2 linked regions of the Lonchura striata genome follow. The protein of the gene in region 1 binds, or shares a complex with, the protein of each later gene. Links are inferred from orthologs where the notes say so. Each region holds a gene or a part of one and is shown on either strand. Other genes may lie near its edges.

Evidence for each region.
Region 2: the proteins of NTRK1 (region 1) and NGF are in contact, whole or in part, in a crystal structure (PDB 1WWW), measured with the Homo sapiens proteins. The link is inferred for Lonchura striata from reciprocal best matches to the Homo sapiens genes NTRK1 and NGF. Residues at the interface, in NP_002520.2 of Homo sapiens: His291, Val294, Glu295, Met296, His297, Cys300, Pro302, Phe303, Ser304, Leu333, Glu334, His343, Gly344, Cys345, Arg347, Thr352, His353, Met379, Asp380, Pro382; in NP_001424474.1 of Homo sapiens: His125, Pro126, Ile127, Phe128, Arg130, Gly131, Glu132, Phe133, Ser134, Ser138, Ser140, Trp142, Tyr173, Phe175, Arg180.

The regions. Positions count from the first base shown.
Region 1 is NC_134635.1:1,625,497-1,632,755, forward strand, and holds the start of NTRK1 (high affinity nerve growth factor receptor), read left to right. Parts: upstream 1-4,172; coding exon 4,173-4,230; intron 4,231-4,547; coding exon 4,548-4,842; intron 4,843-6,611; coding exon 6,612-6,686; intron 6,687-6,847; coding exon 6,848-6,919; intron 6,920-7,259. Other genes in the region: INSRR (insulin receptor-related protein), read left to right, coding at 551-780, 860-970, 1,056-1,215, 2,270-2,399, 2,468-2,602, 2,725-2,983. UniProt on the Homo sapiens protein: Receptor tyrosine kinase involved in the development and the maturation of the central and peripheral nervous systems through regulation of proliferation, differentiation and survival of sympathetic and nervous neurons.
Region 2 is NC_134632.1:1,825,731-1,831,559, reverse strand, and holds NGF (beta-nerve growth factor), read right to left. Parts: upstream 1,458-5,829; 5' UTR 1,451-1,457; coding exon 734-1,450; 3' UTR 567-733; downstream 1-566. UniProt on the Homo sapiens protein: Nerve growth factor is important for the development and maintenance of the sympathetic and sensory nervous systems.

The DNA.
Region 1 (7,259 bases):
ATGGGAATGGGAACGGGAATGGGAATGGGAATGGGATGGGGATGTGGACAGGGAGGAGGATGGTGATGGGATGGAGATGGGAATGGGAATGGGATGAAGATCAAGATGGGGATGGGTTGGGGACAGGGAGGAGGATGGTGATGGGATGAAGATGATGGGATGGAGATGGGAATGGGAATGGAATGGGGATGGGAATGGGAATGGGAATGGCAGGGAGATGAGGACAGGGAGAAGGATGGTGATGGCATGGAGACGGGAATGAGAATGGGATGAAGATCAAGATGAGGATGGGGTGGGGACAGGGAAGAGGTTGGTGATGGAATGGAGATGATGGGATGGAGATGGGAATGGGAATGGGAATAGGAATGGGAATGGGAATGGGATGAAGATCAAGATGGGGATGGGGTGGGGACAGGGAGGAGGATGATGATGGGATGGAGATGGGAATGGGGACAGGGACTAGGATGGTGATGACATGGAGATGAGGATGGGGATGCAGATGGGGTTAGTGACAGTGATGGGGATGGGGTGCTCCCCACTCACCCCACAGTGTACATGCCTGATGAGTGGGAGGTGTCCCGGGAGAAGATCACGGTGATCCGGGAGCTGGGACAGGGCTCCTTTGGGATGGTGTATGAGGGGGTGGCGCTGGGGCTGGTCACGGAGGGAGAGGAGACCAAGGTGGCCCTGAAGACAGTCAACGAGTTGGCCACCATGCGGGAGCGCATCGAGTTCCTCAACGAGGCCTCTGTCATGAAAGCCTTCAAGTGCCACCACGTGGTAGGTGGGCAGCTGAGGGAGAGGGAGGGGACACGGGGGCGTCTGGCCACTCACGTGCCAGCTCCCTTTGTCCCTGCAGGTCCGTCTGCTCGGCGTGGTATCCCAGGGCCAGCCAGCTTTGGTCATCATGGAGCTGATGACACGTGGGGACCTGAAGAGCTACCTGCGTTCGCTCAGGCCTGAAGCCGAGGTGAGGGGCTGCTCAGGTGCCGGGGGGACACTCACCCGGTGTCCGGGGGGGTCCTGGCGTGACCCTGACTCCGTGCACGGTGCAGAACAACCCCGGGCTGCCCCCGCCGTCGCTCAAGGACATGATCCAGATGGCGGGGGAGATCGCCGACGGCATGGCCTACCTCAGCGCCAACAAGTTCGTGCACCGGGACCTGGCTGCCCGCAACTGCATGGTGTCCGAGGACTTCACCGTCAAGATTGGAGGTGGGTGTGAGAAATAGATGCACAGAAAAGTCTCAAAACCTGATAAAACTGCGTCCCGTTCTGGGCCCCTCAGTTTGGGGAGGATGCTTGAGATGCTTGAGTGCGTCCAGAGGAGGCAACAAGGCTGGTGAGGGACTTGGAACACCAACCCTGTGAGGAACAACTGAGGGAGCTGGGGGTTGTTTAGCCTGGAGAAAAGGAGACTCGGAGGTGCATTTGTCACTCTACAACTCCCTGGAAGGTGGTTGTAGTCAGGTGGGGTTGGGCTCTTTCTCCAAGAACTGACAGAACCAAAGGACAGTCTCAAGCTGTCCAAGGGAAATACAGGTTGGATATTGGGAGAAAGGTTTTCACGGAAAGAGTGATAAAGTTCTGGAATGGCCTTTCCAGGGAGGTGGTGGAGTCACCATCCCTGGATGTGATTAAGATCTGGATGTGGCACTCAGTGCCGTGGTTTAGTTGAGGTGTTAGGGCAGGGGTTGAATTCAAAGATCTTTAAGGTCTCTTCCAACCTTGTGATTCTGTGAATTCCGTGAATTCTGTGAATTACATGAGAAGACTCGTATAGCATGTATCTGTATACAAACCTTGAGATAAGATAAGAAACTACCTTAGAAACACCACAGTCTAAGACAGACATTGTTGAGAAAAAGATTGAACTAGAAACAAGTTTCAAAAGATAGCCTGACATAAAAGACTAGATACTTCAGAGAAATGGAATTATGAAAGATGCATTGTAGTAGGACCCACGAAGAGTAATTTTAGATGATGAGCTGTGAGGCATTTACAACATAGTGTAGCTAAAGCTGATAGGCAAAAAACACTTAGAGTGTATTGTAATTAAGAAATCATTAGCTCCTGATTGTAATGGCGTGAATTATAACATCTGTATTGTCTCGCCCTTCTTATGAGACTGAAAATAGAATAAAAGTTTTTAAAGCACCTCTCAGCTGCCCCATCTCTGGGTCAGCAAAGGGCATCGCCCAACAGTGGGCGGGCAGCGGCGGGGCAGGCTGCTCACACCTTCCTCCTCCTCCTCTTCCTCCTCCGCCAGATTTCGGCATGACCCGGGATATCTATGAGACGGATTATTACCGGAAAGGGGGCAAGGGGCTGCTCCCCGTGCGCTGGATGTCCCCCGAGGCGCTCAAGGACGGCATCTTCAACACGCAGTCCGACGTCTGGTAGGTGCCGGGGTGGGCAGAGCCGGGGGGTCTGGGGATGCCCCGGCTGAGCAGCGCTGCTCCGGCAGGTCCTTCGGGGTGGTGCTGTGGGAGATCGCCACGCTGGCCGAGCAGCCCTACCAGGGCATGTCCAACGAGCAGGTCCTGCGCTTCGTCATGGACAACGGCATCCTGGAGCGGCCCGAGAACTGCCCCGACAAGCTGTGAGTGCCGCGGGGGCACCCCCTCACTGCCACAGCCGGCTGTGGGGAAGGCTGCCGGGGGAAATCCTCCTCTCTGCCGTGCTGGGAGCCCCCCGAAGCCAGCAGGTGCCCTCTCTCCACAGCCACGAGCTGATGTGCCTGTGCTGGCAGCAGAACCCACGCCAGCGCCCCTCCTTCGTCCAGCTCCTGGAGCGCATCAAGGACCACATGGCGCCTGCTTTCCGCACCCTCTCCTTCTTCTACAGCCCCGAGAACGGCCATCACGGCTCGGGAGAGCCCTCCAACACCGAGACACAGCCGCCCCCCGAGGAGGATGAGCCCCCCGCGTCCCCCCTGCCCGCACGCAAGGACCAGCTCCCCAACGGGACAGCCCCGCTCTGACCCCGGGGTGCCCTCGGACCCCGCTGGACTCTGCACCCCACGCCCTTCTCCTGCCACCCCCCACTGCTGGGACCCCCCCTGCATTATTTATTGCTTCCAAGGGCCCAGCCGGGGAGTGGGTGCCTTGGGAAGAGGGTGGCAGCAAGGCAAGGATGTTCCGTGGGGTGCATTGCCCCTGAAAATTAAATTGGGGGTACTCCGAGTCGGGGGGAGGGAGTGGGGGGCTGCTGGTTGGGAGGAGAACACCCCAGTCTTTCCTTACTTTTTTTTGGGGGGTGGGATAATGTGGGTATGGGAATGGGTAGCAGGGTTTGGCATTTGGGTCCCCCATCAACCTGCCCCTGTCATCGCTGCCCAGCTGCCTGGCAAGCGGGTCAGCCACCCCTGTGACCCCCACACCTTCCACAGGCGGGGAAACTGAGTCACAGCACTCCGAGAAGCCTGAGGTTGCCCTGATGTCTCTCCCCAGTCCCCTGCACTGGGACCAGTGCTGAGGCCGTGCTGGTCCATGGCAGGGGCGTCACTGCCTAATTTGAGTGCGAATAAAGGGGATGAAGCTCAGCTGCGGCGGTGCCTGGCTCGGGGGGGCGGCACACGATGATTCCCACTCCTCACGCCGCCGGCCCTATCTGCGTCCTGTGGCTTTGCCCTGCGGTGCCCAAACCGGGGGCGTTTCTCGAGAAAAACGTCAAATCAGTGGAATTTAGGAGGATGTGGCAACAGCCACTGGCCCGCTCGGCCGGGGGGGTGCTGGGGTGTCCAGTGGGGCCCCACGGGAGGTGGCCCCGAGGGAACCGTGGCCCTGTGGGTGCCGCTGGGGGCTGGCGGTGGAGATGAGCCGCGGGGGGAAGGGTGCGGGCTGAGAACGTGCAGAAATCAACGCTCGGATGAGCCACCCCCGACGTGCTCCCGAGCGAGTTCGGGGAAAAACAGCATCCGGGTGGGCATGGGGAACCCTGTCCTGCCCTGCCCCACCTCGGGGAGGAGGACGAGGTGGGTCCTGGTCGGAGGTGACAGCTGGGGACAGGGCCACTGTGCCACCAAACGTCCCCCCTGTCTCCAGCATCTCCGCGCCCCGACATAACGGGGTGCTGGGAAGAGCTCCTTCCAGGAGAGGCCATCACGCCTCGAGATTTGGGGGCACCCTCGGGGGAGGTGACAGCCTGGGGGGCTGTAGGTGGCCCCCGGGATGGCGATAAGCCCTGTCCCTTATGCTGCAGCCCGCGGCGAGGCAGGTCCTGGAGCGGGTGTGGCGTCCGTGCGTGTGCACGGGCGTGCTCCAGGAATTTTGGGGGAATTTTGGGAATCCAGCGGTGGGACGGATCCCCTCGGTGGGGCTGGGGGTGCAGGTGTAGGGTGCCAGCCTGCAGGGAGGGTGGCGGCAGGGCACGGGTAGGGCACAGGCGGGTCGGTGCCCGTGTGCGGAGACCCCTGCCCCGGGTCGGAGTATTCCCGGTGCCGGTGAATCACGGCCGGGGGTGTCTCGGGCCGGGGCGGGGGCGGTGCCGGGGCGGGGGGAGCCGCCGGCCCCTCCCGGGAGGCCGGTCCGTGCGTTGCTTTTAAGCCCCGCACGGCCCCGTGCTCGGGCTGCCGGGCAAGTGCGAGGGAGGGCGGCACCGGAGCAGCGGCACCGGCACCGGGACCGGCACCGGCCCCGGGACCGGCCCCGCGATGCCGCCGCTGCCCGCCTGGCTCTGCCTGGCCGCGCTGCTCCTGCCCCTGTCCCTGCCAGCCCCGGGCGCTGCCGGTGCCTGCCCCCGGCCCTGCCGCTGCCCCGGGGCCGGGATTTTGCTCTGCCGGGAGCCCGACACCGTGGGCAGCCTGGCCCCGCTGCTGGGAAGCGGCAGCTTCACCGACGTGTGAGTGGGGCCGGGGGCGATGGGGCCGGGGCTCGGGGTGATGGAGCTCAGACACCGGGCAGAGGCACCGGGACCGATGGGGCAGCGCGGTGGAACCGGGGGTGACGGGGTCTGGGGTGGGGGTGACGGGGTCTGGGGTGGGGGTGACGGGGTCTGGGGTGGGGGTGATGGGGTCTGGGGTGGGGGTGACGGGGTTTGGGGTGGGGGTGACGGGGTCTGGGGTGGGGGTGACGGGGTTTGATGGGGACAGAGCGCGGGGAGCAGGCAGAGGAGCTGGGGGTGACGGGGTTTGGGGGGGACAGAGCGCGGGGAGCAGGCAGAGGAGCTGGGGGTGACGGGGCCGGGGGATGCCGTGGTGCAGCGATGGAGTTGGCGGTGACAGGGATGGAGATGATGGGGTCGGGAGTGAGGGATTTTGGGGACCGGCAGGGGGGCTGGTGAGGGTTGTGGCTGGGGGTGAGGTGCTGTGGCTGGGGGCAGCAGAGCTGACGGACCGGGCAGTGCTGCGGATGGAGGGGATGAGCTCGGGGACAGGATGGCGGGGCTGGGCTGGAGCAGGGATCGCTGGACGGGCTGGGATCGCTGCGGGGGGAGAGCCTGGGGGCTGCAAAATGGGGTGGGGGGGCTGCAGCATCCTCCCAGGGAGCAAGCGAGGGGCTGGGGGCAGCTCTTCACCCCCTCCTGCGGCGATGCCAACCAGGGCAAAACGCTGAGGGTGCAGCAGGGACCCCGGGCGGGGAGCGCCCACGCCGTGCTGGGCAGGGCAGGGCTGTGGGCAGCCGCTTGTCCCCACCCTGCTGGGGGTGTCGCTGTGCCCTGGGGTCTGTGGGTTGGCATGCTGGGGGGGGACACACCCCACATTTGCTGCTTTGGGGCATCCACTCTGCTTCCCCCGCTGCAGGATGCGTGGTGGGGAGACAAGGGCTGGAGCGAGCAGAGATGGGAGGGTGCTGGGGGTGCCGGGGTGCTGCAGGCCCCCAAAGTGCCCCAATTCCTGGGGTTTCCCCCCACCCCACAGCGCTGCCTGTGCCGCATCGCTGGGGCCTGGCTGCAGTGTCTCCGTGCCTCAGTTTCCCCACGTGCCAGGGGATGCTGCGCCACAGGCGCTGCCAGCTCTTTGTTCGCTGGCTGGTGGGGTAGGGTGGGGTGGCTGGTGGTGGGGATGGTGGTCCCCGAGAGAACCCCGGCCGTCCCACTGCCCCAGCTGCTCTCATCCCACCCTCACGGGGGTCAGGGCGGCCAAACCCCCCTTGGTGTGGCTCTGAACCCCATTAACCAACCCCTGTGATCTGGGGCTCACAGCAGCAGCCTGTGGGGTGGGGCAGGGAAAAGCCCTGCTCCCACAGGGGCTTTTCTTCATCTCCTGAAGAATAAAGCGATGGGGGGACAGTGACAGCGGTGTCCCTGTCACAGTGCAGGACACCCTGGGGTGTGAGAAAAGGTGGGCACCCAAAGGGTGAGTGGGGCTGGGACCCAGCAAACTTATTCTGTGTGGACTCCCAGTGGTGGCTCAGCCCTGACCCCACACAGTTCGCACTGATCGGGGGCTCGGCACCACCGGGACCACCTGCTGCCATCCCCCCTTCTTCCCAGCTCATCCCAGGGGAAACTGAGGCACAGTGGGGTGGCTCAGCTCCATCCTTGTCCCCATCCCCGGCTGTGGGCACGGCCTGGGGAGCGGGAGAGCTCTCATGCCCCACGCTTTGCCAACAGCCCCGGGCATGAGGGGTCGTGGGCTGCCACCCTGAGCCCTCTCCTTTGCCTTCCAGCATCATCGAGAACCAGCCGGCGCTCACCACCTTGACCCGAGCTGACACCAGGACGCTGCGGGACCTCAGGAACCTGTGAGCAGCCCGGGGATGGGGTCCCTGCCCGGGGAATCGGAGGGAGGGAAGGGCTGGTGGAGGGGGAGGATCCCCAGGGCTCGATCGGAGCCACAGGGGCCGCTCCCAAGAGGGAGATTGGGGCTGCACAGCGCGGGTGCTCAGCCCTTCCCTCCTTCCAGCACCATCTCCAGGACGGGGCTGCAGCACATCTCTGCCGACGCCTTCCAGGACACCCCCAGGCTGAGCCACGTGTGAGTCTCCCCCTCCCCTCCGCTCGGGGATGGTCCCCCCGGTCCCCCCGGGGCGCTGGCCCCGGTGCGGGGTGGTCGGTCCCCGTGCCCGCGTGGGATCGATGGTCCCGCTGCCCACGGGCACATCGCGGGGGCGGGCGGGGCTGTGCTGCTGAGTGGGAAACCATCGATCTGGGCAGGAGTGCGGGCAACTGCCGGCCCCCCCGGCAGCCCTGTGCTCCCGAATCCCCCAAAAACTGGGGGGGGCCCGTCCTGGGCTGCACGGGGCTCCCCGCTGAAGGCTGGTGGCACGCCTGGCAGAGCCGGCCGTGCTGGGGCACGGTGTGACAGCCCCGTGCCC
Region 2 (5,829 bases), on another chromosome or scaffold:
AAAATTATCAAATTTGGATTATAAGGCACATGAACTTTTTAAACTTATATTAGTATATTGATATTTGAAATCCCATCACTCTGATATAGTTCTGAAGTAATGAGCTATAAAATACCATTTTAACACAAAAATACACACTTTGAGATTCTATTCTTGTGCAAACAAATGTTCCAAAATAATTCAGAATGGATTATTTTTGCAATGAAAGTAACAGTGGGCAATTTTAAAATATGCACTAAAGTTCTTACTTATAAATTGATCTGGCAACAATGAAGAATTAGTTTTTCTACCAGGACTTCACTAAGATGATTAATTATATATGATTAATACCTTTATAGATAATTAGTAACACTGGAAGCAAGTTTTGAAAGTTCTGTTTCATTCTCTTGATACTTGGACAAAAAAATTTCAATTGAAAATAAACCTACAATAAACTGGCAGGGAAATTTTCGTGTAGAGGAGAGCAATATGTGTGAAAACTGTGTGGAAAATGTTTTCTTTTTGTTGAAACCTTGTTCAACAGCCCAGAGTTGTAGAGGTGAACGAGACTAAAACAAACACTCATTCTAAAGAGCTCTGCCAGTAAATAACTTACAAAACACCAAAGATTTCCAAAAGAGTTTAATAAATAATGAGGTTCTTTCTGTACTGTATAAACTATAAATATACCATGCAGTCCTTTATAACTTAAAATAATTTACAGGCTGAGGTAGGGGGGTCGGAGGGCGTGGGCTCAGGGCCTGGCCGCCTTCCTGCTGAGCACGCAGACGCAGGCGGTGTCGATGCGGATGAACCTCCAGGCCGCCTGCTTGCCCTCCATGGTCAGGGCCTTGACGAAGGTGTGGGTGGTGGTGCAGTACGAGTTCCAGTGCTTGGCGTCGATGCCGCGGCACCCGCCCGACACCGGCTTGGGGTCCCTGCACTTGGTCTCGAAAAAGTACTGCTTAAAGACGTTGTTGTTGATGTTGACCTCGCCCAGCACCGTCACCTCCTTGCCCTTGATGTCGGTGGCCGTGGTTTTGTCCCCGACCCACATGCTGACGCTGTCGCACACCGAGAACTCCCCGCGGTGCAGCACGGGGTGCGTGCTCCTCCTGCTCCTGGCAGTCCTGTTGAGAGCCCCCGTGCTGCTGAGAAATCCCAAATTCCGGCCCTGCCCGGCCACCGGCGGGGGCTCCGTGCTGAACAGCACGCGGGGAGACCGGAAACGCCGCTTCCGAAAGATTTTGGGGTCCACGGTGATGTTTAGAGCTTCTCTCCTGCCGAGGCTCCACGTGGCGTGGCCGTGGGATGTCTGCGGAGCCTCCTGGGCAATGTGGGGTCGGTCGCTCCAGGTACTGAGCAGGGAGTGTTCTGCAGGAAACTCCAGTGGAGCATTGTCCTCTGACTTGGGAGCTGCCTGTGTGCCGATCAAAAAAGCTGCAGTCAGAGTGTAGAACAGCATGGGCATTACGTTCTGACCTAGAACGAGAGAGAAGGGCACTGTTACTGCAGTCAGAGTGTAGAACAGCAGGGGCATTACATTCTGACCTAGAACGAGAGAGAAAGGCACTATTACTGCAGTCAGAGTGTAGAACAGTGTGAGCATTACATTCTGACCTAGAACGAGAGAGAAGGGCACTGTTACTGCAGTCAGAGTGTAGAACAGCAGGGGCATTACATTCTGACCTAGAACGAGAGAGAAGGGCATTGCTACTGCGAGCCAGGTGGGCACAAACTGCTGCTGTTCTGGCCATACATTTATCAGATACCCAGGATCATACGGATTTCATCAGGTATTCATGTGAGTGCCAGATGTTGTTCTTCCGGAAGAGTTCATTCAGACAGCATCAGTGTTCTTAATAAAGCGAGAACATTAGAAAATAATAGCTAGATTATTATTAATTCCTCTGGTATTTGTTGTTAGAGCACTGTTTATGAAGCACTTGTTTGGTGTTATTAATGTGGAGACCATATGGTGACAGCATGTTCCCAGGAGTCAGATCTCTAGTGAGTTTTGCAGCAACCTTTTTGGCCTGGGCTGGTCTCTTGGCTGCACAGGAGTGAAAGTAGAAGCAGTCCCATGGCTAAAACAGCTATCCATTCCCTAAATTTGTCTGCAGAGGTGTTCTTGGGGCTACAGTGGGGGCCACCAAGCCAGCACCTCGTGCTATTATCATACCCTCAGCAGACACACTCACCCGCCACGTGGCCAGGCCCCACTGCTGGCTGGCTCAGCAGCCTCCAGCAGCTGCCTGCTCTCCCAGCTGCCCTTCCAGGACACACCACATCACTGAGTTAGGGCAGATAAAGCCCAGGCTCCTTCCTCCAAGAGCTCAGGTATCTGTGTCACAAGGGCAGATGGGATTTTTCCACATTCAAGGGCAAATATGGGAGCACTGTGGGTACCAAAGTACCTCTGTTTAGATACAGCACAGCTGTGTGGCCAATGTACTGTGAATTCTGGACAGAGAAACACCTGGTTTTTTTCAGAATGCCACGAGCAAGAAGTCCCCAAAAGTCCCTGCGGAGCAGATGCAGTGACAGTGCTGGTCCTCCTTCAATCCAGAGGACAGGGACATCTGTTTGGGTGTGGAAAAGGGCAAGCCAAATGTCTAAACCTTTGCTAAGACCCATTTCATGCTGGAAGATCAGCAGCACCAATACCTCATTGGGCAACTACCAGAGCTGACTAATTCAGCCACATGTTGGGAATGAGAGACATTCAAAAATGCTCTGGAATTGCAGTGAAGGGCAGACATTGTGTTTCCTCTGTAAAGACTTAATAAGAAGAGACAGGGTATAAACAGAAAATCCCGGGTGAGGCTCCTCCCCGTCTCTTTGCCTTGTTTTCCTGACATGTCTCAGCTGGCCCCGAGCGCTGCCGTGGCTGGCCAGCAGGCAGGGAGCCCCAAAGCCACTGGACAAACAGGGTTTTGTACCAGAGGAATTGGGCTCTGCAGTTCCACTGTGATTTCCCAGAATTTCTCTGTGTTTTTTCTGGGTGTGGGTCAATTATGGTTGCAGTTCCCCCTCTCTGTGGAGCTTTCTCAGATTAGAATCCCAAGCAGCACTAAAGGACTCGACCGGGGTGCTCTGCCAGAGCATAATCCTGTGGAAAATGCAGAACAACCCTAAGATGTCCCACAGGATCTCATGTGTCTTATCTCAGACAGGAGCTGAAATGACATAAACAGCAAGGTTTGCGCAGGGCTGAGCAAACATTTAAGGAGCCAGCAGGAGACACCAAGTGAAGGCAGTGACTGAGGAGGGGAAGCAGAGCCTGTGTGGAGAGGAGGAAGGAAGAGAAAGGCCAAAAGCCGTGTGAGCACTTGTCTGTGCAACTGTTGGGCTGGAGGCACTGGGGACAAAATGATGACGAGGAGAGAGTCAAATGTTTGTCACAGAGCAAATCCTTACTGTTCCAAAGGCACTTTAATTTGTTTAAAGCAAGGCTGAGGGTTGCTGCTTTCCCACGTGCTGCTCGTGCTGGAGCACTCGTCATCCTCTGTATAAGGAAACAGAGCTGGGTGTAGCTCGGAGCTGGGCTGTGCACCCTGCAGAGAGTAACCCCTTGTTCCACAACCAAACCAAAGTCAGATGGTTCATTGCATCTCTCAAGAGTCAGCTTTCCCGACAGAAATGTTAATGGAAAAGGTTTGCAGAATAAAATCCAGGCACAATTTAGCCATGCCAATAGGAGCCTCAGTGTATTGTGTTTATGCATAAACCCCTTTTTTATTATTTCCTTCTATAGGAAAGAGATGCTGCAATGTCAGCAACGAGCTGGTTCTGGTTTTGTGCTATACAAGATTTGCTGCTCTGAAATGCAGCTACATTTACCTCCCTTCTCTGGATTTCTTGTGTTGCCTGTGCTGAGATTTTTGATTTAAGGCCATTAACACAAAAGCAGAAAGATCTTGCCTGCTTGCCTTTTTTCTGTAATTGCCTTGTATTTCTTTTCCTTGTGCTAAATCATTATGCGGAGTATGGTCAAAACACAGACAGAACATATTTGGGGTACATGGTAACTTTTCTGAAGATTCCAAATGGAATATTTTTATCAGTTAGTGAGTTAGTGGAGAATAGAAAGTGACACATTAAAAAAGTGAACTCGATGACAACCCAGGCAAGAGAAGTTGATATTAAAGAACAGGTGTGCCTTGGGCTGTGAGGGTTGTGAACTCTTTTGCTGGCACACAGAGGTATTTTACAGGCTATTCTGGGGAGTTTTGGGGTGTCTCTGCCCATGGCAGAGGGGCTTGGAACAGGATGAGCTTCAAGATCCCTTCCAACCCAAACCATTTTGGGATTCTGTGTTTCTCTCTCCAGACTTTGTCACGTAATTAGTTATTAGAGCCTCTGATGGTGCTTTCTGGAGACGCTCACAGTGGATGCCTTGTGCAGCCACCTGCACTTGCAGGGGATGTGCAGCTGCCAGTTCCAGTGCTGGGGGTCCACAGTGTCTGATGGGAACCCTGGGCACAAAGGTTATCACAGGCATGGTAATGCCAAAATTACACCACCTGTGCTAACCCCACTTCGTGCTGGGCAAGTGTCATGAACCCTTCCTCTGGAGCAGCTGCAGTGGGAGCCTGGCCAGGGGTGACTCCAGGCTGCTGGGGCAGCGAGTGCTGGCTTACCTCTGCGTGGACTGCACGAAGAACTGCTCCCCCAGCAAGGTCCTTACTTCATCCAGAGCTGAGCCGGGCTGGGCTGCACCTTGCCATGGGGCCCTGCTGCTCCTGCCAGCTGCGTGTGCCACGGGTCACTAGGGCAGAAGGGTTGGTGTCAATAATCAGCCAGAAAATCAGTGTTCTCAGTGCCATTCCCATTCCCCCTTGGCAGCAGGAGCACAGGGACAGACCCCCTTGGCTTTCTGAGCTGTGCCTTTTCCCTGTCACAGCACCAAGTTTGTCCAAAGCAGTTCCAGACTTTGCAGAGCAGCACGTTTGTAAGACTTTGTGGAGTGGTTATTCCCACTCCTCTCAGGCACCTTGCAGGCTCAGCAAACCCAGGAGTGGGGCAGCAATACCTGATGGCACTGCACAGCAGCCAGGCACAAACCAGGGCTCATGGCCCCAACATCTGTTCTGGGAAGCAAAATTGGTTGCAATTAAATTCAGGAGGAGAAGCACAAATTGGCATTTATTGGCAGACAATTATCTGATTGTGGCTGATATTTGAGAAGAATTAAAGACACAAAACTCACAGGCACATAAAAGCAAATACTTAGGTGTTGTGTTGCTGCTGTAAGGGCAGCAATGACTCCGGTCTTAATCACTACATTGGGAATGGTCATCCAGACCCCAGCTAAAGGAAAACCATTCTTTTCTTCACCAATTAAATCCAGCACACTGACACCTTTTCAGCAAAACACATTTTCTGATTGTAAATTCATGGCACTGAATGGAACAGAAATAGTATTTTATTCATCTTATTATTCAATAGCTTATCTGCCCAATTTCATAAGGGAAGTAGGGGTTGGATAAGGTAAATAGGGGTTGTATAAGGTAAATAGGGGTTGGATAAGGTACTCCTGTACTGCAGAAATCCTGCTGCATCAGGCTGAAGTGCATTTGCTAAGGAGAACAAGCTGCTAACCAAAACATGAATTGGACTCACTTTCCACCTGCACAGTCTGTCAGTGGGAGCACTGGCTGCCAGCAAAGGCAGCCACTAGGTTTGGCTCTTACAACACCCAGGTGCAAGTTACTTGATGTTTAAACCTCCAGCTGAAACCTTCCCAGGCTGTTTCCATCAGTGCAGGACACAGGAGTCACCCTGTTACGTGCACAGTGGTTTGGCCACCGCCGTGGTCAGGCTCTCCCTGGGTGTTGCAGTGTCTGG